4 linked regions of the Struthio camelus genome follow. The protein of the gene in region 2 binds, or shares a complex with, the protein of the main gene of each other region. Links are inferred from orthologs where the notes say so. Each region holds a gene or a part of one and is shown on either strand. Other genes may lie near its edges.

What was found.
Region 1: EIF3G (region 2) and EIF3D share a complex: the UniProt entries of both Homo sapiens proteins name them as parts of the eukaryotic translation initiation factor 3 (eIF-3) complex. The link is inferred for Struthio camelus from reciprocal best matches to the Homo sapiens genes EIF3G and EIF3D.
Region 3: EIF3G (region 2) and EIF3F share a complex: the UniProt entries of both Homo sapiens proteins name them as parts of the eukaryotic translation initiation factor 3 (eIF-3) complex. The link is inferred for Struthio camelus from reciprocal best matches to the Homo sapiens genes EIF3G and EIF3F.
Region 4: EIF3G (region 2) and EIF3J share a complex: the UniProt entries of both Homo sapiens proteins name them as parts of the eukaryotic translation initiation factor 3 (eIF-3) complex. The link is inferred for Struthio camelus from reciprocal best matches to the Homo sapiens genes EIF3G and EIF3J.

What each region holds. Positions count from the first base shown.
Region 1 is NC_090942.1:59,344,298-59,351,285, reverse strand, and holds the start of EIF3D (eukaryotic translation initiation factor 3 subunit D), read right to left. Parts: upstream 3,021-6,988; 5' UTR 2,535-3,020; intron 2,140-2,534; 5' UTR 2,131-2,139; coding exon 2,008-2,130; intron 1,667-2,007; coding exon 1,621-1,666; intron 1,231-1,620; coding exon 1,094-1,230; intron 1,002-1,093; coding exon 916-1,001; intron 418-915; coding exon 345-417; intron 214-344; coding exon 98-213; intron 1-97. UniProt on the Homo sapiens protein: mRNA cap-binding component of the eukaryotic translation initiation factor 3 (eIF-3) complex, a complex required for several steps in the initiation of protein synthesis of a specialized repertoire of mRNAs.
Region 2 is NC_090972.1:4,971,353-4,978,489, reverse strand, and holds the start of EIF3G (eukaryotic translation initiation factor 3 subunit G), read right to left. Parts: upstream 3,020-7,137; 5' UTR 2,929-3,019; coding exon 2,909-2,928; intron 1,957-2,908; coding exon 1,907-1,956; intron 1,515-1,906; coding exon 1,422-1,514; intron 1,341-1,421; coding exon 1,252-1,340; intron 977-1,251; coding exon 917-976; intron 599-916; coding exon 494-598; intron 382-493; coding exon 192-381; intron 1-191. Other genes in the region: DNMT1 (DNA (cytosine-5)-methyltransferase 1), read right to left, coding at 3,384-3,421, 3,604-3,694, 3,802-3,918, 4,040-4,203, 4,283-4,478, 4,899-5,076, 5,194-5,360, 5,651-5,792 and 2 more. UniProt on the Homo sapiens protein: RNA-binding component of the eukaryotic translation initiation factor 3 (eIF-3) complex, which is required for several steps in the initiation of protein synthesis.
Region 3 is NC_090948.1:24,470,767-24,477,720, forward strand, and holds the start of EIF3F (eukaryotic translation initiation factor 3 subunit F), read left to right. Parts: upstream 1-3,953; 5' UTR 3,954-3,963; coding exon 3,964-4,249; intron 4,250-4,347; coding exon 4,348-4,418; intron 4,419-4,583; coding exon 4,584-4,663; intron 4,664-5,801; coding exon 5,802-5,939; intron 5,940-6,954. UniProt on the Homo sapiens protein: Component of the eukaryotic translation initiation factor 3 (eIF-3) complex, which is required for several steps in the initiation of protein synthesis.
Region 4 is NC_090953.1:1,192,478-1,200,484, forward strand, and holds the start of EIF3J (eukaryotic translation initiation factor 3 subunit J), read left to right. Parts: upstream 1-4,995; 5' UTR 4,996-5,087; coding exon 5,088-5,112; intron 5,113-5,218; coding exon 5,219-5,319; intron 5,320-8,007. UniProt on the Homo sapiens protein: Component of the eukaryotic translation initiation factor 3 (eIF-3) complex, which is required for several steps in the initiation of protein synthesis.

The sequences.
Region 1 (6,988 bases), on a different chromosome or scaffold from region 2:
TGGGAACACTGGGCATGGGCCACGAGGCCCTTGCCCTGCTACTTTCCAAAACCCAGTCAGTTCAGGAAGCGAGCACTCAGCTGTTTTAGAAACTCACATGTCCTGCGGCTCTGACACCTCCAGATAGCGCATCTTCATCAGTCGAGGGAAGTCCATCTCTTCTTTCACCTCCCAGTCACTGCGAACTTCAACAGAGGAGTCACGAGGCTTCTGCTGTGCGGCCAGACAGTAGACAGATAAAGAGAGAGAGAGAGACACAACACATCAGGATTTGTGAGAGAGAAATTGCCTCATGAGAGCAGAGAAAGAACTAGACAATCACAGGGGTCAGAAAGCTAGTTTACCTGTGATTTTTGGTCCCATTTCTGCCTCACTCCAAACTGTTTCTGAAACTTCTTCTGTAGACGCAAACGATCTCTACAACGGCAAACATGTGAAAAGCCATCACGACAAGTTCTTGATTCCTAGATGCCACAACCACTCCTACACTTCCAATTTAGCACCAAAGGAACAATACCTTTCGGCACCAAGCCACTGAAACATTCACTGAGCTGTCTGTTGATCAAGATGTGTGAAGCGTTACAAGCTCTGCTCTTTATTCCGAGCTGCTGTTTAAATATTTTCACCTTTGAAGACTACAACGCAGCTTCCAAAAGGAGTATACTTCATTTTAAATTACCACGGTTATTTTCTGAACTGGATTTAGAAATTCTCCTAAATTCTTAAGTAGCTGTTTGAAACCCATGCTTATAACTACAAGTGACTTGGGCAAAACAATGGACTTGAAAAAAATCCTCAAGTTGTTCTTTGGTGACTGTTAGCTCTGGTGGTTTCTGCTACAGTATCTTACCCAATTTATCAATACTTTGTTGACACAATTCATACAAATACAGTATACCCGTATGAGGGTCTCACCTCTCCTTCTGCTTGGCACTCTTTGGCAGTGTCTGCATACTGAACTGCAGCATGTTCCGACGGTCCTTGTCTCTCCGAAGGTTCCTCTGTGAAAAGGGGCGGGGGGGAGAAAGACATTTTAGTTATAAAATAATTTGCTACCACTCAAGCTCTCAGAGTTTTGGAAAACAGGTGTTACCTGTGCAAATCGCATACGATTCCTTTGGTACGCGGTTTTCTGCGTCCGTGCTGTATCCACCAACTGGAAGCTAGTCTCATCCTCCTCATGAAAATATGCATATTGACTTCCTCCGCCAAACTGTGAAGAGTACTTGTCTGAAAATAAAACAAAGCATCTTGCTATCAAGCTTCTAGGAAAAGAAGACTGGCGAAGTAGGAGGGGGGAACAATCCCCTCCAAACGCCTTCCCTCAAGCCTGATGCATTAGCTGGGACTGTCTACCTTATACCACTGCAGTTTGCTCTGCCTCTAAACCTCCAAGAAAAGCACCAGTCACGAGGTAGAACAAAACCACAAGCAAACCGTAAGGACGGGGAGAGCCCCATGGAGCTCTCCCAAGGGTGAGGCACACTTCTGAATATAAGCAGCTCTTGCTGAGGAACGTAGGCAACCACTAGAGCCGGTATGAAACATGAAAGCAGGAATGACATTTGAAGTAAGCTTGTATGAAACAAATGACAGGAGCAGTCACCAAACAGCACGTACTCGTATATCTCTTATCCTGATAAGTGGCTCCTGTCCAGTCTGCAACCTAAGGACAAACAAACAGTCAAAATAAGCAAGTAGCAACTCTGACTTTACATATGCAGGACTTCAAGCAGCAAAAGCAAATATGGCTCTATGCTCCAGAATCACTCCTTTCAGTTCCCACCTCTGCTTGCCAATCTTGCTAATAGTTCACAACTATGCTAATTAGGATGGACTACAAAGGATGTTTCAAAAACAGTCATAGTAATTAGTAAAGAAGCTCTGAAAATAAAGCACCACTACTATGCACAGGTGATATGTAAGAAGGAACATAGGGCTCATTCAGCAGGTTAACACAAAGGCTGCCACCTTCCCTAGCTCCACATTAGGACATGATTTTAATACCTTTCCCAAGCGGTCTCCTTTACTGAAGGGCTGATATGGCATATCCCTGAACTGCTCAGGCACAGCACAAGGGCCCCAGCCCGAGGGGTTGTCCTGGATCACTGGTGTCACAAACTTGGCCATTTTTTAAACCTTTAGGAGAGGAAAAAAAAGTAAAAATAAAAAAAGGGGGGGGGGGGGAAAGCAACCAGAAAAGCTCAGTTGCCAAGTGGCAAACCCTGCCAAAGCACCGCGACACCCGCTGCTGCGGGACAGGGCGGCCAGGGCTGCGCTACGGACACGGCGGACACCGCGGCCCAGGCCTCGGTGCCTCAAGAGAAGGACGGGCCTATTTGACCTCCCGGCCCCGCGCGGGGCCGCAAGCGAGGCGACGCTCCTGGGGGCAGGGCGGGGGATGGGGAAACTCGGCCCCACCGGAACCGGGGGCAGAGGCGGGGCCGCGGGTGGAGGGGGAGCCCCGATACCCGCGGGCCCAGCCCCAGTGCGGCAGCGGGCGGGCCCCGGCCGCGCCACCGGCGGCTCCTCACCTGCGCGGCCCCGATGGCGGCGGATACGACGACAGCGGCGGCGGCGGCGAGGAAAGGGCCCCGCACGGCTCCGGCCCGGCCTTAGCGCGTCATCGCCGCGCGCCGCCGTCGTAAAATAAATAAATAAATAAAGCCGCCAAGGAGCTCCGCTCTTCCCGCCCCGGGGCTGCCGTAAAGCACGGGCACCTCTGCCCCACCTCCCGCTCAGATGTCGTCTGGATGACGCCGAAACCATAGAGCTGCCGGACGGCCTGGCTAGAAAAGCTGCAGCGCGCCCGCGGGCGCCTCCATGACGTTCCGCGCTCCCTCCAATATCCCAGTGTGCCTTGAGGCCGCGGCGGTGCCGGTTGCCGCGGCAGCGGCGGTTGCGGTGGCTGCCGGAGTTTTCTTCCTCTTCTTGCTGCCTATGACGCAGGATTTAGTTGGCGGAGTGCCTCAGAGCCCTCTGTCAGCAGCCCCGCGAGCTGCCCTGGGGGTGCCGGCTCTGCTGGGATGAATGGGGGGGCGCGGAGGGGAGGGGGGGGTCCCAGATAACGTCAAACCGCGTCACCCGTGGCTTGCGTGGGGGCTGAGTTAGCCTGTTCCCTGTTCTGATGGTGCCTCTTGTCACAACGGTAGCGATTACTGAAGTCCCGCACCCTCCTAATTACCTGCCCAACAGTACGTGGGGTTAACGGGGAAAAAAAATGGTATTCGCGATAATAAACTTGCCTTATCCGCAGAAGAGCTTGTGTTCAGCTTTAAGTGGAAAAGGCCGAGATGAGGCAAGACAAAGCCTTTCGGGTTGTACTTGGCTGTCACAAAGAGGAAGAAAACAGATTGTTTTCCCTGCCTCCTGAAAGCAGAGGAGAAACATGAGTTCAAACTGAAACAATGGAGATCTGAGTGAGATGTTAGAAAAATCTTTTCTCGCTGTAAAGTTGATTAAACTTCTAGAAACGTTGTTGAACGTGAATAGGGGTATTTAAGCCTTTGTTAAGCCAACATCTGTTGGGAATGATTTTGATATAACGGCTCTGCCTGGCCGCAGTGGGATGGCCCAGGTTGTTTCACAGAGTTCCTTGGTTTTTTTATCTGTTGCTCTCATAGGGATACTTGGACTTCATGATCAGAGGTGACTGTTGCATATCAAGAAGACTTCTTTTCTTTGACGGAGGTTGAGCACAAATTACTCTGCCTAAAATTATGTACAGGAAAGGATACTGATCCTCAACTTAGTAACTGACAAACATTTCTACTGCTATGCTTCAGTGCCCTCCTGTCCAGTTGTGCCAGGTTGTTCTGCAGACATGAAAAAGACTTACTGTAAAGTCTGACAGGTAAATTCCTATTTTCACAGATAGATTTGTGTCTGTGATAAAGAACAGACTTACAGGGCTCCTGACAAGAAGTATATCAATAAGGCAGTGTATCAGGATAGGAAGCACGATCTAATTCTGTGCCTCTTAATTTTGTCAGACAAAGCATTTTTTGTTAGCCTCTTGAAATAAAAATGTATTGCAAACTTTGCAATGTTTTTGTAGAGAAGTAGGTAGTATTGACTGCAGTTGTATGGTCATACAACTGACTTTGGGTTTTAGAGTATTTTTACGAAATACTTTACTTTGAGGGGTAAGGATGTGTGAAAAGTGCTAATTGCAGTTGTCCCTGTTGCCTTCACAATATGATATTAGATGTTTTGCATTGCCTCTGATGGCTTTCCTTGACCTGCTAGAGAGGAAATGTAGGGCTACAACTTCGCATTCAACTCCATAGCCTCTTCAGGAGACCCTGAATAAGTCGTTTAATATAACACATGCCTCAGATCCCTGTCTATAACTGGGATCTATTTCCCCTCTCAGATGGTGAGAGCAAAAACTCATTGGTAAATCTTGGATACTCAAATCACTGAAATTTTCTCTACCACTAAAAGACCAGGATCCAGCTTACAGGTATCTTCAGCTCATAGGCTGGAGAATTTTCCTGGGTATCCTTAACCCAAGAAAAGTCTAGATCAATACTCTTCAGAAGGGTGTGCATTTTCTCCATTATTTACAAATTCACCACCTTTAGTTACTTCCTGAGAAAGCACAGAAGCTGCAGCAGTCTCTACTTTGCCAGGATACCTCCCCATTAATCAGGAGTAGGATTATTAGAGCAATTTTCCTAGCTAGTGAAAAATCCGCTTATAGAAATATAGTTTATAAAATACAATTTGTAACTGTCCCACCTAAATGGCCCTCCTGGGCACAAATGTAATGAGTGTTGGAATTGCCTCACTGCTCTCCAGTGGTGGCGCAGTGGATTCTAGCTCCAGAATGTGACTCCTGCAGTGCCCCACCAACTCCCATTCCCTTCCCTCCCCAACTCGGGTGGCGGGCTGAGTAGGCTCAGAGGGCTCTGGCTGTGGGAGGTGGCCTTACGCACCTTTGGGACTGCTCTGGCTATATTCCAGTCTATAACTAACTTCCTCATTATCTATCTATGTGGAACAGATAAATACACTTTATCCAGCTTGATACATTAGATTCAATCTGAACATTGTTGTGTTCATGTCCTGCTTGGGAGACAGCGATAAAAGGAACAGGAAATCCCAAAGAGAAAGCTGGATTAGGGAATGAATAAAGAGAAGCAATGTCAAATGGACTGATAATTTAAATCCCTTCCTCTTCCTTTCCTCAGCTTCCCTTTCGCTCCCAACTCGGTGTGAGGTTCTTAAAAGAGACTGTAATGCTGCTTTCGTCTTCCAAGCTGACAGGTTATTTGCAGTTTGGGCCTAGCCCAGCAAAATACCTTCTCTGGGGACAGAGTTGGGTACGAGGCATGGTTCAGAGGACAGAGCATGCGTAGGGAGTGTCCTGTCCAGAATAAATACTCCTTTATGTTCCAGTGTAAAGTACCAGTTTCTTATCCAGGGGAAAATATTTCAGTTCTAAGAACTTATTGCAGACTTGAAGAGGGTGATGTTCTCTGCCAGATTTAGGTCAGATTTACGAGGGGGGAGTGAGTAAGTTTTACCTCACTTTTTATTTAGCACCATACACTGCCGCCTCTGATCTCCTGTCCAATGCTGTGGTCGAGGCTCCAGTGTTGCATGTACCCCTCTGTTCCTGTCTTGCCAACCCCAAGCACCATTTCTGCCAATAATTTGCTATCTAGCTGAGGGCTTTTATGACAGGCACATGAGTTTTCCAGTGAAGCCCTGAGTTGCTCAGAATACGCTTTCTTGCAATCATTTGATCATTAATCTACAATTCTAGTTAATCAATTAATTACAGTTAATCAGGCTAATCAGTTTTCCCTGGAAGATGCTCATGAGAACAGCCAGGATAAATTGCTCCCATCTGGTTTTGCAGCCTTGTCTCCTATTTCTCTATTTTGGGGATCTGCAACTGGTGTTAGCAAATCCATAAAAGCGGGCTTTGTCCTAGCATCATGGCTGTTCCAGTCCAAAGGCTTCACAGCCATAATCTAGTGCTTTCCCTCCATCTCCTGCAGCAATTCAGGGCTCGTTCAAAAGCTGTTGTTCTGTGAGCTGGCTGTGTGCTGAACAGCAGACTCATCCTGCTGAGCAAGAAGAACGTGCAGCTCAGGCAGTATCATAAGAAATTTGCCAGGTTTAAATGAAGGAAAGCAACTCAAAGCTCCCAACCTATTAGGGTTCTTTTCTAGAAAAAAAGCTACCCTCTTCCCTACCTGGAGACACCTTGGAAAGCCTTAGGATAGGGGTTACTTTCCAACTTGTGTGACTGTGATTCCCATTTGCTGCGCAGGACTTCTGCTCAAAGAGGGGACTTGAAGACTAAGGTTCATATTGAAACACTAATTTCCAGTAGTTCCTTTTGTAATTCTTACAACAAATGCATCAAAGATAGCCAATTGTTTCTTTTTTTAAACTAGACAACAAGCACACTGTATGCCTGTACCATATGTTTAGTTCCCAGTGCCCTGTACTTCTTGACAAACCCAGAAACCAGAGAAAATAATCTTCAGCCTTAGCACCTTCCCCGAGATGAGAAGACTAATGTTTACAAACCTCTTCAGACTGTTCTTCCAAAGTCATCTTGTTTAAAGTGGCAAGACTTAATGCTGGCTCCTGCGTTCTCATTGCAAACAACCTTCACTGCATCTAAAGTGGCTCCTGTCACAGGCCAGCAACTATCTGGCTGCTCAGCTGCCCAGAAGGATCACTGTCCTCCAGAAAAAGCTGTGTTTCAATTGCTCTCTCCCTCTGTTCACAGGCTGAGAAGCCCTCCTACCTCCCTGGTGTGCATTCCTCTGTGCAACTCATCTTTCCAGTTGCGCTTTTAACTGCCTTCTCAATCTGCTGTTCTCTCAGGCCAAATGCCTTCACTGCTGAGTGTGGCCTCCTTTTGCTCCTTCTTCACCCCTCTCCTAAGCTGCCTGGATGCTGAACTCTAAGCCTGCCTTCCTTGAGTGACAGTTGCTCGCCAGCTTTTTCAGAGTTGTGGTTG
Region 2 (7,137 bases):
GCCAGCCCCTAACTCCACCTCCAGAAACCAAATCCCCAGGGAAAGGATGAATCCAGCTGTTGCAAAGAGACACAACACCAGGCCGCGGCCACTGCAAGCCAAGCCAGGCCGTCACGGGGCACGCGAGGGGAGCGCTGCCCCCGCTGCGGGCAGGTGCGTCGCCCCACGCCCGGGGTAAAGGGATGCCGTACCTCCCGGCAGCTTCTCCTTCTCGCCTGTGGACAGCCCCAGCTGCTCGGCCAACTCCTTCTGCATCGGCCCCAGGGTGTCCTTGTAGGGGCAGCGCGTGGTCCAGTGGTCACCCTTGCAGATACGGCACGACACGATCTTCTGTCCCTTCAGCTTGTTCATGGGATCCTCCTCCTCCTGGCAGTTGAGGTCCTGGGCACAGGAAAGACTCCTCAGCACCACAGAGCCAAAACGCCCCTGCCGGCGCCCACACCGGCTGCCGGGGCTCCCGACGTCCCGCCGGCTCCCACCCCTCCGGACTCACCTCCTTGCTGGTGATGAAGGTCATAAAGACGTCGTCGCTCACCGTGGTGGTGGCCACGTTAGGACCGGGGGCATCGAACTCGGAGTTGCCAAACTTCTTCCAGTTCTGGGGAGAACCAGAGGCTGCTCGGGAAGGGGGAAGGCTGGGAGGGACCCACTCGCGTGACGCACTCCCGAGTCCTGTACAACACTTGGGACCAACATAGCCCCACTAGTGCTGAACGCAGAGCGCGAACCACAAACAGGAAGAAAAGCAACCCTAACGATGGATACTTTGGGGAGACGGGGAAAATATCGAGCAGAAGGAACACGCAGAGCGGGAGCGCTGACAGAAGAAGCAGATTTTCTTTGAGTACAGTTTCTATTTTTCTGTTTCTCCCTACAAGCGGCGCTGTCCCCCCTGCCCCGCACGGCGCGCGCTCACCTTCCTGCGGGCCACCGCCTTGGAGGCCTTCCTGGTTTCAATCCGGAAGGTGCGGATGATCTGCAGGGGCATAACAGAGTCTATCAGCGCAGGAGGAGGGACGGCCTGCGTGTGGCAGACACCCTTCAGGCCCCAACTAGAGCAGCCTGAGGCAGAGCTGAAGCCGGGCGCGATGAGGCGCCCTTAGCGCGGCCCGCCGGGACCAGCCCGGCCCTTGGGAACAGCCCGCACCCAGCTGCGCTGGCAGGACCAGGGAGCGGTGCCCTCTCGGGAGGGAGGGATGGGGGCTCTGCCGCGGGGATGGCCCGAACCGCTGCCTGGGCCGCACTGCTCACCTTCACCTTGCGCCCGTCCTCCTCCTCTCGATACTCCGTGATGGTCTTGATGTTGCCGTTGATGAGCTCCTTGGGGGAGGGTAGCGGACCTGCGCGGAGGGGAGACGGTGAGCTGGAGGCCGACGCGAGCAGCTACCGCGGCAGCCCCACGCGCCGCAGGCGGCTCTCACCTCCTTTCAGCAGCTCGGCCTCGGCGCTCAGGCTGCCGCCCAGCACCCCGCTCAGCGGGATGTCCTTCAGCAGCTCGCTGGTGATGCATTTGTCTGCGGGAAGAGAAGCAGGACTCACCGCCGGCACGGCCCTGGGGACCGGCGCTCCCCGCTCCCGCCCGTGCGGCCATCGAGAGCCTTCCCCACTACCGGGGTGCGGGGACGTCGGTCGCTCCAAACCCCCCAGCTTCCTCGAATCCTTGAAATGGGTAAGAGGGACTTGGAGGGGGGACTGGTCCCTGCCCTAGGCCAGGCATAACCTTCTCTTACGGATCAGCCGCAAGGAAGAGACGTTTGGGCCTGTTTTGAACCCTGGACGTAAGGCGAGTATCTTGGGAGAAAAACGCGCTCCCGTTGGCTCTGGGAGCAGGACGAATCTCCCGCGACGCGCGGGGAAGAGCGGGAGCGACGGGGCGAAGAGCAGGAATCCTGCCGGCGCCGCTTACCGTCGTCGCCGCCCTCCTCTTCCACCTGGTCGGCCCAGCTGGGCTTGGAGCTGCGGAAACGCCAGAGCCTGAGACCGGCCCCGCCGGCGGCGACAGGTTCCCCCGCCACCGGCCACCGCGGCTCCAGCCGGCCCTGACATCCCCCCCAACAGCCCCAACACCCCTCCCGGCCCTGACACCTCCCGGCCCCACCGCATCCCCCCTCACGGCCCTGCTGTGTCTCGGGGCCCCACTGCGTCGCCCCCCGGCCCCGACACCCCCCGCCCTCGGCCCCACTGTGTCCCGGGGCCCTGCCGCATCCCGCCCCGGCCCCCAACATCCACCCACCCCAGCCCCGACACCTCCCGGGGCCCCGATATCCCCCCTCCCGGCCCTACCGTGTCCCGGGGTCCCGCCGCACCCCCCGGCCTCAACATCCCCCCAACCCCGACACCTCCCGGGGCCCCGACATCCCCCCTCCCGGCCCTACCATGTCCTGGGGTCCCGCCGCGCCCCCCCCGGCCCCAACCCCCCCCACCCCCGACACCTCCCGGGGCCCCGACACCTCCCGGCCCTACCATGTCCTGGGGTCCCGCCGCACCCCCCCCGGCCCCAACCCCCCCCCACCCCCGACACCTCCCGGGGCCCCGACACCCCTCGGCCCTACCATGTCCTGGGGTCCCGCCGCGCCCCCCCCGGCCTCAACCCCCCCCCACCCCCGACACCTCCCGGGGCCCCGACATCCCCCCTCCCGGCCCTACCATGTCCTGGGGTCCCGCCGCGCCCCCCCCGGCCTCAACACCCCCCCCGGCCCCAACCCCCCCCACCCCCGACACCTCCCGGGGCCCCGACACCCCCCGGCCCTACCATGTCCTGGGGTCCCGCCGCGCCCCCCACGGCCTCAACACCCCCCCCGGCCCCAACCCCCCCCACCCCCGACACCTCCCGGGGCCCCGACACCCCCCGGCCCCCGCCCGCGGCCTGCCCCGGGCCCCCCGCCGCCGCCGCCTCCCGCCCCCTCACTCGTAGTCGCCCGTCGGCATCGCGCCGCCGCCGCCCTCGCGCGCCCCGACCGGAAGGACGCGCCGGAACTTCCGGCTCCGCCGCTGCCGGAAGCGCGGCCCGGCCGGAAGGGGCGGGGCGGAGCGCGCGCGAGGGCTGCCGGGAGCGGTTGCCCGGGGCAACCAACCCCCCCCCCGCCGCCGCCGCGGGGCAGAGCGGTTATAATTTATAGGAGAGATTTATTTGAAGAAATATTACAACATATAAAAACTACATAAAGTATTAATTCCCACTTGTACAAAGCGGCCGATTATTTTCAATACAATGCGTCGTAAAAACAGCCCCGGCCGCGGCGGGGGCGGGGGGGGGCAGGGGCCCGGGCCGGGCCTGCAACCAAAACCCAAAAATAAAAACAAAACGGGAGGGGAGGGGAGGGGGGGGATAAATCAGTGCATGTTTGGGAGTCCCGGAGCGGCGGCGGCGGGAGCGGCGGGCGCTAGTCGGCGATCTCCATCTTCTCCGGGGCGCTGGCGTCTGCGGGAAGAGCGGCGGCTGAAGGAGGCGCCGGCGGCACCCCCCCCCCGGGCTGCCCCGGACCCCAACGAGGGTCCCCTCGGGCCTGGGGGGGAGCCCACCCCAGCCGGCGCGACGGGCAACCCCGGGAAAGGGCTGCTCCCAAGGCGGGAAGCGGCTCCTCGCCCCCCGCCCTGACCTACCCACGATGTCTTCCTTCAGCTTGGCCGACACGCACGACTTGATCTCCAGCCCGATGGCTTTGGCTAGAGGAGGGGGCACCGCGTTCCCGACCTGCCGGCGGAGGGAGGGTGAGGCTCGCGCCGGCCCGGCGGCTGCCAGGCCGGGGAAGGCTGCGCTGGGCCGGGGCCGGGGCCGGCTCGGCGGCCGCCGCCGCTCACCTGTCTGTGCTTGTCGAGGATGTTTCCGAAGAGCCGGTAGGTATCGGGGAAGCCCTGGGACCTGGCGCACTCCCGCACGCTCACCACCCGGTGCTGCTCCGGGTGCAGCACCCGGCCCTGCGACAGCGACGGGAGGGGATGGGGCTGAGCCGGGACCGGCGCCGAGCCCCCCCCCTCCACTCCGGGGGCGGCGTTTTGGGGACGGGCCGGGAGCGGCGAAGCCCCCGGAGCCACCCACCTGCTTGCCCATGGGCTCCGGGTTGGTGACGGTGGTGCTGAAGAAGCCGTCCCACTCCAGGCGCCCGTAGAGCCCGGCCCAGTGGTTGTGCCGGTTCCCGGTGTGGGGCAGGCACCAGGGGATGAGCGTGTTGAACTGCCGGTCCGCGGGGTCGCAGGGCTTGCCTGGGCGGGGGGGAAGGCGGCGAGAGGTGAGGCGGGTGCGCGCCGGTGGGGCGCCGCGCTCGGCCGGGCCGTCGCCTACCTTCGGCGCACGAGCACACCCCTCGCAGCGCCCCGGAGCTGCTGCGGCCGTTCTTCTTCTCGTGGTGCGTGTACCGCAGCTTCCGCGTGGTCGTGCCGTCCGACAGCCGCACCTCGATGTTGGGCAGGTCTCGCCAGTCGGAGCCCGGCGCCAGGGGGATGTGCCTCATGCGCGCTGCGACCAGGGCGCTCATGTCCTGCGGACGCCAAACCCCGCGTTACCTCCCGCCACCGGCCAACGGCGACCTGCCCCGGGACCTGGCCGCGGGGCGAAGGCAGCGGAAGGACGCAGGTCAGGCCTAGGAGCGGCGCTGCAGCCCGGTTCCTACCTCTGCCAAAGGCCGCGGGAAGGGGACGGGTCCCTGCACCGCTGCAGGCCTCGTCTTCCCTCCCGGGGCGGGAAGGGGGCTGCGGGTACGCGCACAGGGAGCGCTTTGGGACGGTCTCTCTCGCTCCCCGTTTGCATGGTTTTGCCCACGCGACGTCCCTGACCTAATCTCAGACCGGGGTCTAGGCACGGCCTCCCCTCGCCCCGATCGCCGTCCCCGTCTGGTGGATGCCAGCGCAGCATGGAAGCGGCGTCACCCGGCCCCCCGCCGAGACCCCCGCGGCCGCACCTTGCAGATGTGGTCCCTGAGGATGGGCTGATACTGAGAGCCCCGGATCTGCCTCTGGAACCAGGACTGCGGCTCCCCGTTGTAGGAGATCTCCAGGGCGGAGGCTCCGTTCCTGACCTCCGGCAGGTCGGACATGGTGTCCCGCACCGTGATGGTTCGGAAGGGGCCGGAGTACGTCCTGGGAGGGAGGAGCGAGCGATGAGAGCGGCCCCCGCCCGAGACCCACAACGCTCGTCCTGCCCTCGTGCGCGCCCCGGCCCCGCTGCGGGGGAACCGTGCCATTTTGAAGGCTCACCGGGTGATATTGCTAACGAACTTCTTGTCATCCACCACGACGCTCAGCTGGCAGGCGCGGGGCGCAAACACATGCAGCGGCTCGGGGAACATGGGGAGCTTCTCACCAGGAGCCGCGGCAAGAACGATGGCTCGCCGTCGCGTCTGGGCCACGCCGTACTGACCAGCCTGGGAACGAAAGGACGCTCCTGAGGAGACCGCAACGAGGCCTGGAGCGTCCCCATCCAACCAGGGCCCTGAAAGAGCTGGGAGCGTCCCCTCCGCCAGACCGAGGGAAGACAAAACTCAAAGAGCTTGAGCAGTAACACAGCAAATTGCTCCTTTGGAGGTTATAGTTCATTGCAGAGCCAGGCTAGAGGAGAGGGGTTTTAGCCCTAGTTCACTATCTCAGGACCTGCCGCTAAAGGAAGTGTCCTGCGTGCGCGGTCTCTGCCGCACTCCAGCCGCAACCGCCCTACCTGCAGGACCCCGAAGGTGCACTGATAACCCATGCGGACGAGGCACCGCAAGGTGAGCTTCAGAACCATGGAGCGCTTGAAGGACACAAAGTTCCTCACGTTCTCCAGCAAAAAGAACCGCGGCCTGTAGTAGTCACAGTAGCTGCGAGGAGGGAAAGGGACATGTGAGCAGAGAGACAGAGCAACATTCGACGCCTGGGTCCTTCGGGACAAGCCACTGACCTGCAAGCTCCTCACTGCGGCCTGCTCACCTGAGAAAGGAGACCACCAGGGAGTTCTTGAACTTGGAGTAGGTGCGGGAGTTGAAGCGGTTCATGCCGCTGAAGCCCTGGCACGGGGGACCACCACACAGCATCTCCACATCCCCCTTCTGCGGCAGCTTCTGCCCCAGCGAGTTGGTCTTCTCACCAGACATGACCAGCTTCAGCAGGACGTTGCAGTCCTCCGTGAACACGGTGGTGCCGGGATTGTTCAGCCGGAAGGCCTGGGCGGCTGGCTCCCACATCTCGATGGCCCAGAGCGTTTCCGACACACCTGGGGAGGGAGGCAAAGCAGAGGGTCTTGCGCTTGTGCAGCGAGGATTTCCTCACATCGCCTGATCCAGCTCATGCTCCATCCCAAACACGGCGCCCAACAAAAGGGATCGAGACACCAAGCAGGAACTCGGCATGAGAGGCCAGCACTGATTCCCGCCTCCCCGTGCGCTCTGGTCATTTCCCAGCTGCTGTCTCAGCTCTGCAGCTCACCTGCCTGGTGGAAGCCCTCAGACAGCCCTCCACAGCCAGAGAACACGTCTAAGGTACGCAGCTTGGGCAGCTTCAGGTCAGCTGGCTCCTGCTCGCTCTGCTCACAGGTCACAGACGATTTCCCTTTGCCCTTGCCTGCAAACGGAGCCCAGATCACATCAAAAGGCAAAGTCATTTCCTCCTCTTAGTGCTTACAAGGCAAATTCTTCTCCCCTCCTCCACAGCAGTTAAAACACCAGCTTAAAGCACCTTTCTATCCATAATTTTTTCACTGCCGTTGCCAGAATACGCCCTTGCATTTGGAAAGGAAGCTTCTCATCTTTCCCAGTGCAATTCCTTTCCAACCAACAGCTCTTAGCCACCGACCGTTTCTGCGGGTAAGGCTGGAGCTGTGGTAACTCACAGGGCAGCTCCCTGTATCGCGAACGTTCCCCTGTGGTAGCAAGGCACGAAGCCCTGCACTGCGGAGCGACCAGCCCCGGCAACGGGCAGCCGGTAGGTAAAAGACTTCAAGATCTCTGAGGGCACCACAGAACAGGGACAGCGCAAAGCACAAGGGACCCTACGTTGTCACTGCAAGATTTATTTCGGAGAAATTAGGTCTCACATGGCTGTCTCTTAGAAATAGAGCTGCAGACCACATAGCTGCATCCTGTGAGAACATCAGAGCAGGAGAAGTGCACAGAAACATCTGGTTAGCGGGCAGTCTTATCTCTACTCTACAGCAAGTAACGGCAGACG
Region 3 (6,954 bases), on a different chromosome or scaffold from region 2:
CGTTTGGTACATAAAAGAATTCTGAACAGCTAAATCAATCATTTAGGGACTTATTTTTACAGTTCAATATTTTCGACACTCGTCTGAGACAATTATATTGTAGCATTTGGTGTTTGCTAGGGTTTGGGTCCCCTGCCACCCCACAGCTATCATTCACTCAGTTGGTATATATTTCTTCCTCTTCAATGAGTGTAAAGCTCTGACTGTGAAAGTATCTGTTGGCCTGCCTATGACAGCTTGTGTACATTTATCTTCGCTACTTTCACTTACTATCACTGCAACTTCTTTTGTGAAGTTACCTTTATTTTAGCTTGGTTTTCTGTGTTTCTACATAGTGACTAACAAGCACACGGCAATCCTCAAAGTGCTGTTTTTGAACACCTGATATCTTCTCTAAAGTTAGCATGGTGATGAAAGTTATATTTTTACATTGGTGCAGCAGGCAATTAATACTACACCTCATTATTTTTAGGTAGTATTTGGATTTTCACTCTCATGCTACCTCTATAAGTCCCACATGTCAGTATTATTTCTTTTATAATTAGAGTAGCCCCTTAAACATTATGCAAAAGGCGAAGTGCTTGAATGCCTCTTGCTAACATGGAGATAAATCACTGCCTATGACTATACCATATAAAAGCCCTGGACTGATGGTAGAATATATGGCCCCTGAAAAACACAGATAACCAGTAAATCACAAAAGCATTGTTAACTTGGCATAAAAGAAAGCAAAGAGAGTCTGAGAGCACAATGAAGGCTGGAGACACAGACTTCCAAGCAAGAAATCTGAAGTGATTCAGAAAGTGAGACTTGATATTCATTTTCTTCTATGTAAGTATAAGATAATAAGTAGGATTATGTAAAATAAACAGTAAGCTCACTGACTGATTTCCTCTTGGCAGAAATAACTGAAAGACTTTAACTTGGACAGAACACAATAGAAAATTTTGTTGTAATAATGGAATAAAAACCATCAGACCTAATCCCATGAAACTAACCAGATGAAACCTCTTCCTGAAACAGTGAATGAAATAAGTTGTAAATATTTTATTTTGCCTGTACTACAGAAACAGTTTTCCTCAGTGCTAGAAGTGATGCTGCTTCTAGTAATATAAGCAAGATGAGGGGATAGCTACTGATAAAGGGATTATACACCATCTGTGCAGGTGACACAATAGCATATGCAGTAATGAGTCGACCACATAAGAACTGTAAAGAGAAATCCTACAAAAGCAGAGCTAAAAAGTCATTTTACTGTCAAAACAAGATGGAGGGAAACTACGCAACAAAAACTGTAAAATCAGAAGGCCCTGTGGTACCACACTGATCTGTGTTCATGTGAGAACGTTTCTTTCATTTATCCTCTAGGCAGATAGATTGTCCTGTAATAGCTAAACATCTTTATCACTTCAGAGACGGACACTAAGTTTTCAGTGACAGGCAGTCCTGATGTGTCACTGGTAAATTCCCATCTCAAATAATAAACTGATTATTTGCGAAACAGTATTAGTTCTGAAGGCCTACATTTTCCACAAGTCACACAACAAGCAAGAACAGTTTTGCAGCTTGGACACCTTAGGTCCTAGCAGCATCACATGACTGATTTTCTTACCATTAAACAATCTCTGTATAAACTGAGCTTTGTGTGAGCTGACCGCTGATCTTTGACTTTGGAGATCTAGACTGTCCATCCTTACTCACTATACACACACTCTGGCATGCTGTTCAGCAGCTTGACATCAACATACTAAGGAAGGCTGTCCCAGTTGCTAATTTCAAAGCACAAGTGCAGCTCCAAACTAAGCTGACCAATTTTAAAGGCTGCAGCATAAAGCTATAATGGTCAGGTCTTCAAGAGCCTTGCTTGCTTCACCTGAATCAGCAGGTGACTATGTCAAATTAAGCATCAAAGCCAGTTTGATGCAAATAGAAGTGAGATCAAACAGCTGCTCTCTAATAAGCATACCTCACACGTTTGACTTCCCAACGACACATCAAAGCTCCAGGAACATTTTAAGTCTTACACACAACCTTAGAACCCAGGCACACCTACAGGAAACGAAGGCTGCATAGCAGAAGCCTAAGAACAGGAGAGTCAGTCTTCACTGGCATACAGACCACCAGGTGCTTTCACAGAAAGATGAAAGCTGTGCATGTTCCCAACATCAGTGGATTAATCGCCTTTGTAGCTGTGATAGGTGCACCCTGCTTATGGAAAAGAGACACAAACTGCTAGAACAAATTCTTTTTGTTGAGCTGCTCCTTTTATGGTCTTCAACGACTGGGTAGGAACTGCTCGTCATCTGTTGATAATCTCCCCTCAGCTGATGAGGTAGACAAATCTCCAAAAGCCCCCAGTCCTGACAGAATGCTTTCTGATGTTAAAAGGGCTTTAATTAGTAACCCAAATCTAGGAAATTGTGTCTCAGGAGCCCAAAGTGGATCCATGTAAGAGCAAAGACAATTGCACTCCATGCAATAACCAGCACAGCACTTTTCTCTGTTATACTTGGGAAACAACTACCTTGAAAGATTCTCAATCATTCAAGAAGTCATCTGATTGACAAAGTGGTGCCAGAAAACTTAATTTCTGCCTGGCATAGCTTCACTGGTCTAAACATTTTATCAGGATGCAAGACTCCTCAAATACTTCAAAGACACTTGAAATTCTCCCTTGAAGTCTGTCAAATTAATATTTGTGAGGAAAAAGTTTTAGACTAAGACAGAGATCTGTTGTCATGTCGCTGCAACTTTTGAGATAACAGCTGCAGGCAGAAGGCAAAGAGAGGGAAAAGGAAGTGCAACAAGAACCCAGTATCCTTACCAGTCATCAAAAGCATACATAGTTTATTTTATAACCATACCGGCCCAACACACGTTGCTTTGTTTCCTGTGAGCGGACACTTGGAGTACAAGTAAATAGGTAAACAAATCCACAAAATCAATTTGTTAGATAACCATTAAGCCTTGGATACAGGTGATCAACATTCAGTTTCACTCTCTACGTGATACCTGATAACCACTTTGTTCCTCACTGGGAAGGAAGATCTAAAAACAGGGGTAACAGCACTGCAGCACCTCATGGGGCCATTAGTGCCACCACTGCATAGTGCTGGCATACAGCATTACCAGGTAACCTCCGCAGCTTGGTGCCACACTGTTCCCACGCTAGAGGCCTACAGGCTGCCGTGCTTACCACATCTCATATAGCTGTGGCACAGCCTCTGCACCGCAGGACATAGCAGGAGAGGCGCTGGCAGGTTCCACCCTCGCTGCGAGCAGGTCAAGGCAGCAGTAACGGCTCCGCCACCATGGGCTGGGCCCACCACTTGCGCTGCCACTGCCCAAACACCTTGGTGGCCATCTGCCATCAACAGTGACAGGTGCCAGGGTGCCTGGCCAACAAAGGCCCAGCAACAGCACTAGGGCCACAGAGGCAATAGGGCCCAGAAGACCCTGAGGAGCTCAGAAGCACTCAGCAGGACCCCGGCCTACTGCCTGCCCACAGCAGGGGTCTCCAGCCCCGAGGGACTGCCAGGCGACACTCACGAAAGCCAGAGGACTGCACACAACCAGCCAAGGGCTCAATGCTACACACAAAAGCATAAATCCCGCCCCTGCCTTATACCCGGGGGGGCGGGAACAGAAGGGTCACAACCAATAGACCGGCCTCCGTACACTGACAGACAGCAGTGGGAGCCTCACCAGCCAATGAAGGAGCTAACAGGCACGGAGGGTCCAATCGAAAAAGTTGCCGGACCCCAGAGAGCGCGCTAAAGACGGTGCGTTCTCCCTCCAATCAGAGGGTGCCTTCCCCCATAGCTTTCCTCAGATTGGTTAACAGATGTGAGGAGGGACTTACTGGGCGCCTCATTGCCCAATGGGAGGCAGAACTGCATGACAGGCGTTCAGGCCAGCCAATTATTACTGGCGCAGCCCCCTCTCCGCCTCTCTCTTCGCAAGATGGCGGCGACAGCTCCCACCGCAGCTTCGGTTCCTCCCGCGGCCGCCCCGGCACCGAGCCCCACGGCGGCGGCCGCCCCCCCGCCCGCCGGCGCCCCCCCGCCCGCCGCCCCGGCGCCGCCCGCCGCCCCGGCGCCGCCGCCAGCCGCGCCCTTGTCCGCCGCGCTCTCGGGCCCCTTCCCCGGCGGCCGCGTGGTGCGGCTGCACCCGGTCGTGCTCGCCTCCATCGTGGACAGCTTCGAGCGGCGCAACGAGGGCGCGGCGCGGGTCATCGGGACGCTGCTGGGTAAGAGCCGCTCGCCGGCCCCGGCGCGGCCCTGGCGGCCGGCAGCCCCCACGCCGGCCGGCCGCGGCGCCGCGCTAACCGCGCTGCCCTCCCCGCAGGGACCGTGGACAAGCACTCGGTGGAGGTCACCAACTGCTTCTCCGTCCCTCACAACGAGTCCGAGGATGAGGTACCCGGCGGCGGCGGGGCGGGCCGGGCCCGGTGACTTCGGCGGGGTGCCCTTGCTCTTCCCTGAGCTCCCGCTGATGGCAAGCGTTGGGGGTTTTCCCTGTGCTGTCCCGTGCTAAAATTCAAGTATTCTTGTTAGAGCTGGCTGTGCTGTCACGTTTTTTAGGTGGCAGTCGATATGGAATTTGCCAAAAACATGTATGAGCTGCACAAGAAGGTGTCTCCTAGCGAGATCATCTTGGGCTGGTAAGTTCTCCTTGGGCAGGAACATGCAAGCAGTTGTGTAGGTCTGTTAAGCTGCTTGAAATGCATAGTTCTTGTCACAGGTTAAGACAGGAGCCCTGATGCCTGCAGTTACGTTCTGCAGCTCCGTTACACACAGGCAGTTGTAAAACTGCTGTAATTCTTAATAGGAGGAAACAGTTCGAGAGACTCGCAGTGTTTACTTTGGTTTAGATCTAGAAAAGGTATCGCAGAAGAGTGATGAGTTACAGAATGCTTGCACGGATTTGTTAGAAGAACTATTTAGTGACCTGTAATACAACCTGTGCCATGGAAGATAACTGGTTAGAAAGAAGAGAGAACACAAAAATAGTTTCAAGTACCTAAGACCTCAGGATGAGTCTGTGATTTCAGTTTGAGCATGGAAAAGTTCTCTGCTGAGAAAAGGTGGAAAATACTTGTGTTTGGGAGGCCAGGCTAGAATCAGGAGGGTGTTACAGGGACAGAATCCGTGTCTAGGCCTCTGGGTGTGTGGATGGAGCAGATAGTTTCACTAGTCTGTCCATGTCTTCTCTGATCCTGGAAAATAGCATAGCTCTGTTTCTACGGAGCAAAATTCTGCAAGCACAATGCTCAGTTTTCTCAACAATCTTTTAATGGCACGGTGAACCACAGATGTAATGACGGTTTTCCTATGCATACAGGACGCTAATTGCAGACCAGATAAAGGATCTAGATTAACAAGTCCTGTCTCCAGCACTGAGATGTTTCATCTGTGGAAGATCTACTTGGTGGCTTATTGCTGGATTCAATTAGCATGCTTTGATTTACATTGAAATAAGGAGTTGGTCCAGAGCGTAGTGAGAGATGCTTGAATCTTGGGTGTTTGACAGCAGCTGTACTGACTCTGTGTGGCTGGTGCAAAAATGTTGGTCCTATGCATGTTGCAGGTATGCTTGTGCTCAGACTGTGATTCCTACAGTTCTGGAACCGCTAGTCATAAAGCTACAAATTATGTGGCTGAAACACTATTTGGTATGCCTCTGCAGCTCAGTGTTTGGAAATCAGTGTTTTAGGATACAAACTTGTTAAATATCCACAATAGCAAACATTGGGCACCTGAGTGTTGGAAGAACGGCTCCTTATGTTTGTGTTTTTGAAGGTATGCAACAGGTCATGACATCACCGAGCACTCGGTCCTGATCCACGAGTATTACAGCCGGGAAGCGCACAATCCAATCCACCTCACTGTGGACACAAGTCTCCAGAATGGACGCATGAGCATTAAAGCTTATGTCAGGTATTTTGGAAAGTTGCATTTTTGGGAAGGGTATATTTGGATTACTAAGAGGGACACCATCAGGATAACAAGAAGTACAATGGGCTACAGTGTCCCACTGAGACAATCACGTGCAGTAGTTAAAACAGAGTTGTGAGCCAGGGATCGTGTTTTTCTTCCCACTGGAATGTCTTGACCATCGTACGCAAGCTGAAAGACCTAACCTTTCATAAGCTGGTTCCTCATTGGAGGAGGAGAAGGGAATTCTCACTTAACTCATCTTAAGAGAGTTTTGAACGTCTTTGTGACATTTTACCGGATTTATATAGCTAGCATTAATGTCACTAACTTCCCTCCTATTGTCTGAATGGTAGACTTTATTCACTGAACTTTATTGCTGGGCAGTTTAGTTATACACGTCAGAGAATCAGTGTGATTAAAACATAATCAGCATCTTCTTGATCAGTCTTTCTGGCCCTCATCCTCTGCATTTTTATCCATTGGTAATGGAGGTTAAATACTGAGAAATGCAACTATTCCACCTCACTGTTCTTCCTGGTACTGACTGAACACCTCTCTTCTTTCCAGAATAGAGCCCTGGCCTTTTTTTTTTTTTTTTTTTTTTTAAAGCCAAAATCATACTGCTTCCTGACTATGCATCTCCAAAAAAGAAGCTGTTCCATGACATCTTACATACTGAAAGCATAAATGAACTTCAGATAGAAATCACAGATCATAGAAATAACAAAGGTGTTAAGAGTGCTTTGTACTTGAGTTTTTGTCATCTTTATTTTTGTTCCTTAAGGGATTTCTCAAAGACCGTGGAGTATTTCAGGATACTATTCTTGCTCTACAAGCAAGAAGCAACTAGACAGTACTTAGCTCTTCATGTGCTCACGCAGACAAACATCAGGCTAGTTAGGAATATTCTTGGATGAAAATGAGCAGTTAATAATATGCTTGTGTGCATTTCCTGTCCTCGGTTATCCAGGCTCTTAATACTGCTGATTTTGGTGAGAATGAGTAATCTACTCAT
Region 4 (8,007 bases), on a different chromosome or scaffold from region 2:
TGTCCCTTCAGAAATTTTAAGAAGCGTGAGGCAAGGCAGAGAAGGGGTCCAGTCCACAGGAGAGTGGTGTGCTGAAGTAGCAGCCTAGTGGAAAAATCAGATTCTCTTAACTGCAGCAGTTATTCCAAAATAGTTCAACGGTTAATACGGAAGAGAACCTGGTCCATTAAATTGACGTACTTGGAGAGCTATTTATAAAGACTTACGTTACTGGAAAAGAGCAGGAGTACTTTGAACAGAGATCCTCTAGCATGCACACTTTTGAGATGGAACGTTTTGAGGCTGGGTTGAATCGAGTGATACGACATTTGCATCAGTAGGTTTGGGAACAATGGTAGAGGTTTCAGGAAACTGCTTAGACGAGGCTGAAACAATCAGAATAATTTTGGTGCTTTTTTGTCTTATTTCAATCAAGATTTGTGGAAGCAATGGGACTGGAAGAGAGGCGCACACCCGACGGTCTGACCATGCGACCGCAATGAACCTAAGAGAAAGACCTCAGGCGCTAAAATATTTGAGACAAGAAGTGACGTTTATTCCTGATGTGGACAACGCAAATCTACTTGAGTGGCTCCCGTTCACAGACTACTTTGAGGATACCAATGCAGATCTCCCACTCAGGATTTGGAGACAAGAACCTGCACAGCTCATCTGATAATAAATTCAAGGTCTGCATTGGTGAACTGCTGAGAGATGAGTACTGTTTTCTATGTGTCAGTCCCAGTATGGAATTGCTTCCTGATAGAGGAGGAAGAATTTTACACCCCCTTCCTGATGATAGAGGACATGGTAGTATGGCAGTTCAGTATGATCCATCATTACTTGGACATGCAGACATCATATATGAGATTGGAACATCTTCTAACAGCCTTTGAGCTCTAGCATCTTGAAGTGGAACTGCTGACTTTTGGAAATACGCTTCTAAAGTCAGTTGCGAGAAAAAGGGTCAGAGAAGAAAAGATGCGTTTCCTTGCAGATCTTCGGCATCTGAAAACTAAAACAGAAAGCAGATCACCCCCTGAAACAGGTGGTTTGGCTTAACTGAAAAAAGTACCTAGCAGAAGGGTACGCTGTTTGTGAGTATAGCTCACACAGGAAATAATGAAGGAGGTGCTTGGCATGGCATGTCATAAAATGCAAGAGTTCGTGCAGCTTGAGAGAGACAAGTACTGATTTACATTAATGGTTGGCCTGGAGCTCAATTATAAAATCAAGTTAAAACAATGTCAGAAGCAATGTCACTGCTAGTGCCAAGAGTTGCTCAGATGTATGCTATGGCCTATAATGGCAGCAGGATCTACTTTTAGAACGCTCATTCTGAAACCAAAAGTTGGTCTTTATTAGCAACTAAAAAGCGTGCACCATGTATATCCTCTTATCAACCAGTGGGCTGGAGATAAGGAAAGACACCCAAATATATGCCTGAATTGCTGGTGACCCTTTGAAGCTATGGAGAAAAAGAGGGACCGTGAGTTAGTAAAGATCCCTCATCACAGGAATTTTATCAGTGGCTTCGCATTACTACTATCTGAAAATATGCAGCATGACGACAGTCACAGACTGTTTCCCAGAGAACAATGCAATAGTAACGTTGGCTAGTGTCACCATTCTAAATTTGAAAATTTAGAGCTTTAATTTCCTTAGATTTTGAATGGGTCACCAATGTCTCCTCTTCTTCAGCATCAGAAAGTTGTTGCTGTAAAAACTCTTCTCCAAGAAGCATCAGAATTGGTTCAGTAAACTCCCCGTGAGAAATCTGATCAGATTCTCATGTCCCTATGACATCACAGAGTTGGGAGGCGGTGATGAAGTAAACTGGATGAAGTTAATCAATGTTTCCAACATTTATGCATTTGACAAGGTAGAAGGAAACAGACCAGTGTAACTGGTAGAGGCTAGGCTGGATCTGGTTGTAGCTCCCAGGCATATCAGCGAGTTTGATGTTTAATCCTCAGACAAAACAGTTCTCCACTTCTAACCTATTCCATCAGGAACATCCAAACAACATGAAGCATCAAACGTCAGGTCTTGAACAGACGTCTGCTTACCTCTGGCTAAATCAGAGCTCTGGAGCCGTGACAGTCGCTCTCTCTGTCTTGCGTGCAGAACAATCTAAAGGGACAACACAGGCCTCAGAGCATTTCAAAATAAAATATTCCCTGGTAGCAGTGGGGAAGAAGTTGGAGAAGAAGTTGGAGAAGAGTGACAGCTTGAAACCGTAAGAGGCAAACAGTCCCTTTATAATCTGCAGCAAGGTGAAGGTGTAAACCCACTTCTCTAGAAAGTTCAAGCACTTAAAATACTTATCCTGGAATCTGTGGGATGTAGCAGTTTTTGCGGCATCCAGGGGGGACTGGAAGAAGCGCAGAGAGAGTTTTCACTTCTATGGATCTACTGTTTAAAATGAATCCTCCAGCCAGTGGGATAGCAAGAGAATGACTTTCCAATGACAGCTGGCTCTAGAAATTAAAAAATGCAGAATTCATTTGCTATTTGGTGTGGGAAAATCACGGCTACAACTGCGTGTGCAGCGTGACTTCACTGGACTAACTGCAGCGGAACTAAAGGCCCCTGTACAGCAGAAGTAAGGCAGCTTGGATATCTGTGGATTTGTGTCCTGTGGTTGACTGACAGCTCAGGCTACAGCCCTTCCTTCCACTGAGTCTGTCTTCCATCTGATACCTATTTTATATTTGTAGACACTGAATTCCTGTAAGGGACCTTTAGACCTCTGCTCAATTTGGTTAAAGCCAGCTGGTGAGTTCAAAGTTTTTAAGTAAAGGACAACTATAGTGATTGCAAGGCCACGATCCCCCCTGGGAACTGAGCTAAAAACCCCACCTTAAAGAGAAGGAATTATGCAGATAAATTGTGAAAGCATAATCTGGTTGCTAGACTATCTCTACAGCTTTACTGCAATCCTACGCCCATGTTTATTTGTGGTTTGATCACGAACCTGAAAGCTGGGAACTGACTAAATCATAACCTACCTTTACTATAAATTTATACTATTATTAAGGGGATTAGGAAATAGTTTATGGCACCAGTCTGAAACAACTTTTGAAAGTATTTTCTCTTTTCTTCTCTCCCATTCTGTTTTAAAGAACTCCCTCTCATTCCCTGAACTGAAAATAGCTGAGGGCTGAGTAGTATTCAGGTGGACGTAAGCCGTGCTAGATGAATCTAGAGCATTTCTCATTAGTAAAACTTAATTATTTCTGAATAGGATTGCCTACTTAGAGCCTGTGACTTAAGTTGTTTTTGTTCTGCCTGTTCTGTCTGTATTTATGAGTTAGGAATAGGAAGAATAGAAAGTCATTCAAATCCTGTGAATAACTGTTCTTGGCTCCGTTAAGGGTAGGAAACAGATATGCAGTTATTAGCCATATTTGTTCAGATCCAGTGGAGCTTTCATTTATAATCATTGCAAGGCATCCTAAAAGAGAAATATCTAAGATGTGCAGGAAGTTATGTAATTTCTGTTGGACTGCTTCCCGAGAAACCTTAAAAAGTTCCCTAGTACTGATACCAGAATACTCTGTATTGGTGTGTCAATACCGGACAATATATGATGCTCCAAAAAACTGTGTCCTGAAATATAGCATGTAAAGGTCTCTTCTTAGTCTTGGGATCACAGCATTATATACATTTATTGTCTGATAAGGGGCATAACGTTTGAGTCATGGAAATTTTTGTACTGAGAAAGCCTATCAGAAAACAGAGATTCCATTGCTGAAGGAAATGTTATTATCAAAAGCCTACGAATAATGTATTAATTATCTGCAGCTATTTAAATTAAATTATTGAACTATAGTTTGCGAGCATGAGATAAACTATATAATCCACAACAGCACAAGCTGACTGAATTGAAACTGAATTAGGTTTTTTGTAGCATTCCCCCCCCCCCGCCCAGTCCTATATATTCTATTTCTAGTGTTTCTTTCTTATTTTTAAGAATCAATCCATACAAACCTAATAAAAATATGCCTGATTGGGACATAATTTTTTTTCCCTTCATAAAGGGGCCTATCGACAGTATCGGAGGATATTTTTTACTACAAAGCTGTAGTAAACGAGAGGTAATCGCTGCAACGTCAGGTGGCAAAGCTTACCGTGCATGAGGCTAGTTCCTAGAAGCTTACGGTTTTCTGCTGTATTTTTTATGTCGTTAGCATATTTATGTTTTAGCTCTGCCATCTGCAGAGGGCGTGAGGAATTATCTCAGGCTCAGTCACAAGCCTCATCTTTACCAGGGAAAAAGATAGTTTTCGGGCACGGGGCGGCCTGCGCCGAGTCCCAGGCTCTCCGCAGGATCATCCTCGTACGGACGGGTTCCGTAGGTACAAAACGGTACTATTTTAACCTTACCAGGGTATTAAAAGGAGTAGGACGCACCAAAAGTGGGCCCGGTTATATCCATAGGAAAGTTCTTAAACAGCTTATTCCCTGTCCTCTACAGGGCAATACACCACGACAGCAGTACGTTTGACAGTAACGTTTTCTGTGCCTCCCACCTGGAACAGCAATCCCAGCCTTCTTTTCCTAGTGGGGACGTGTTCAAACACAGCAACCGGGAAACCCCTTCTTCCTGAGGGCAGCGTTTAAGGGCGCGCACTGCTCCTGGCAAATCTCTACCGTACGGGGCAGGCTCCTTTCGCTCTGCAGGTGTTTTATGACAACGCTACAAAACACTCGCAGCCCCCTCAGCCCGGCACCGACATGGCGGCCCCGCGGCCCCCTCAGCCCGGCACCGACATGGCGGCCCCCGCACCCCCTCGGCCCCCTCAGCCCGGCACCGACATGGCGGCCCCCGCACCCCCTCGGCCCCCTCAGCCCGGCACCGACATGGCGGCCCCACCCCGCCTCAGCCCGGCACCGACATGGCGGCCTCGCCTCAGCCCGCCCCGCCCCGCCCCGCCCCGCCCCTAGGGGGCGGTGCTTGTGGGGGAGGCGGGAGCGCGGGCTGGCCGGCGGGGCGGGGCCCTGTCAGTCCGCCGCCATCCCGGCGTGCCCCGCGCGCGGCGCTGGCCGCTCTCGGCGCGGCTGACTCACCGTGCTTCGCTGTGGGCGCTGCTCCGCGGGGCAAGATGGCGGCGGAGACGGATTCGTGGGGTAGGTGGTGGTGGTGGTGGTGGTGGCGGCGGCCGTGCCCGGCGCCCCGCGGGAGCCCTGGCTACCGCCTTGCCCCGCCGCTCACCCGCTCTCCTCTCCTCCACAGACGCGGACAGCTTCGAGGTGGTGGAGCCGGTGGCGAAGCGGCTGGTGCCGGGGGTGGCCGGGGACCGCTGGGCCGGCGAGGATGAGGAGGACGACGTGAAGGTGCGGCCGGGGCCCGGGCCGGGGCCTGTTCCCGCCGGGGCCGGGCTGGGCCCACTGGGGCGGGCGGGGGCCGAGACCGGGGCCGCCGCGGCCGCGCCGCTGCCATATGGTGCCGCGTGTGGCGGGCCCCGTGCTGCCGGCCGGGCCGGGCCGGTGGACGAGGGCGGCGGCGGCTCCTGCGGCGCTGCCGGGGCTTGAGGCGGGTTTTCCTCAGGAGCCGGGGGGGGGGTTGGTTGGGGGGTGAGAGCCACGAAATGGGTTTCTGAGGCCCCGGGCTCTGCCGCCTGCTGCGGAGATGACGAGTCGAGATGCCACATGGAAAAGACTGCGTTTCTGCTTTGTGCTTGTTTAATCCTCGCTTAGACTGGTTATTTTTCCTTAAGGTTCACTTGCTTTATATTGGATCTTCCAGGTGACAAAAGAGAAAGACACTTTTACTCTCCAGTTTTCTAGGGAATCCACCTGCTGCTTCTGAGCTGCTTGCCAGCAGCTTGGTGCTTTTCTGCAGCCAGCTGGTTTCTGCTTGCTTTCTGTAGACCTTCTCAAATGCTCTTTCAGATCCTTGGTTTTGAGTAGCATAGACTAGGTGAGGCGTTAAAAGTTGGATTTAATGGAAGCAGCGCTGTCTTAGTACTACTTCTATTGACCAGAAACTTCTGGGCTGCAGCAGCCTGTCCCTTCCTGCTCTCACTCCTCTTCCTACTTCTTCCCACCCCCCCCCCCCCCCCCAAGCCCCACCACAGTTGGAAAATAAAGCAGTCTACTATGCTCTTTCAGGTTTGGTAGTGTCCAGATCACTAAAAGATGTTTTGTTTACTTAAGGCTCTCTTCTTACTGTGTTTCAAAGTGTAATGTCTGCATGGAGTTTGTATTAAAATGTGTGAATGTTCATCTGTAATATTTATGAAAGCAGACCCTCTTTAAAAGCTTGTTGTCTTTTATTTAGCTCCAGCTGTCCCTTAGCAAGCCAGATTGACTGAGTGGTGGATGCCACAGAAATCTTAACTTGCTCAGCGTTCGTATAGACTGTAAGCAAAATGATGCCAGGGGACATAAAAGGAATGTGTTTGACTATTAGGAATCAAAATGGGTAAACTGAAAAACACTTCTCTGTTTCAAATCAAGGTGCTGAGGTGCTGCAATAGACAATCCTGTAGCTCACTAGGTGATGAGTACTATATTATGGTCAGAAGTATGAGGCTTTCTGAAATAGAGTATTGCTGCTTATTAGGCGAGGACTTGTTGGTTTTGTTATTTAGGCTGCTGCTTGTGTTACCAGAACCTCTGAAAAACGCCAACACGGTTGTCCTTGGAGCTTAGGGTGGGTATTCTTTTTTTCAATCAGTATGAAAAAAGTAGTTCATCTTGTCTTAACAACAACAACAAAAAAAACCCAAATATTTTTGTAAGTTATGGGCTGCCTATTTTTCACCTTAACTATAGGGTGTGGGGGTGTTATTACATTTATAGGTGTCAGTCACATTACACCAGGCAAAATGAGTAAAGGTATCTCTGTATACAGTGGCTACGGTAGTTTGTAAAGCTTGTGGTTAGAATGTGACTATACATGTATACTTATTTTTACATATCTGTGTACACACACATACATACGTGTCTGTATTTATTTATTTTTTGATTCCAATTGACTTAGCAAAGTTTGCTTTTCCTGATTCCTTTGAAAGTGAGAAACTTTTCATCTACAATATAATGTCTTAATGGAACTGGACTATAAGCTGTTATTCTTTTAAAGACGCCAGCTTTGTATGGCTACTCTGATAAAGGAACAAAGTTTTCCTACCAAAACATTCCTACCAGTAAGAAAGTTACTATTAAGGGATTAAGGCTTTAGTACTGGAGCTGCATTTAGAGACAAGGGCCCCTAGAGCAAATAAAGCTGTTTTATTTTACTTTGAGTTGCACTTACTGTATAGATGCTAAAGATCATGCAACTGAGCCTGTGAGATAATTGCTTAGATTGTAGATACCTTGTTTGTAACTGTCAGCCTCAGGAAAGTACCTGCATAAGAAAAATGACGTGGTCTAAAATACAAGCCCAAAGTATTTTCTGGCCAGTAGTTTGCCTTCAAGTTGGTATTTCACACTTCAGATTTTTTTTTCTTTTTTCTTTTTTTTTAATATATTCAGATTCTATAGTTTGTTATGGAGGTATTTTAATAAAGATAGTAACTGTTTTAAGTTTAGGAAACTTTGCCTTTCATGAGATTAAAATTAGCATCTTCGTAAGTGACAAAAGTTTCCCAGAAGACAGGCCTGCTGCCAAGGAATTTTCATCTATTTACTCTTGGGCAATCCTATACTTAACAAAGCCAAAACTAGGAAACGTGCTTCTTATCGTATAGGCAACAGCCTTTGACATGGTACAGTCCTTCCTCTTTGAAGGAGAACGCGAAATATTGACTGGGAATCTAAATAGTGGAGAACCTGTAATCTTCAAGTAATGTTCTCTGTTTTTCTGGAACACGCATCTTTGTACATTTAAAGGTACATGTGGTGGAGCATATGAAATTGTAATAGTTGCTTTCATCAAGGGTTTATTTGCATGAAATGGAAGATGTTTTTCAGTAACCTTATTTTAGTTAAGTATGTATAAATTAGTATCTTTGAAATGCTTCAAAGTTTTAAGTGGTGTTAGTGGATGTATTTTGGAATTAAGACGACCTCTTCTGA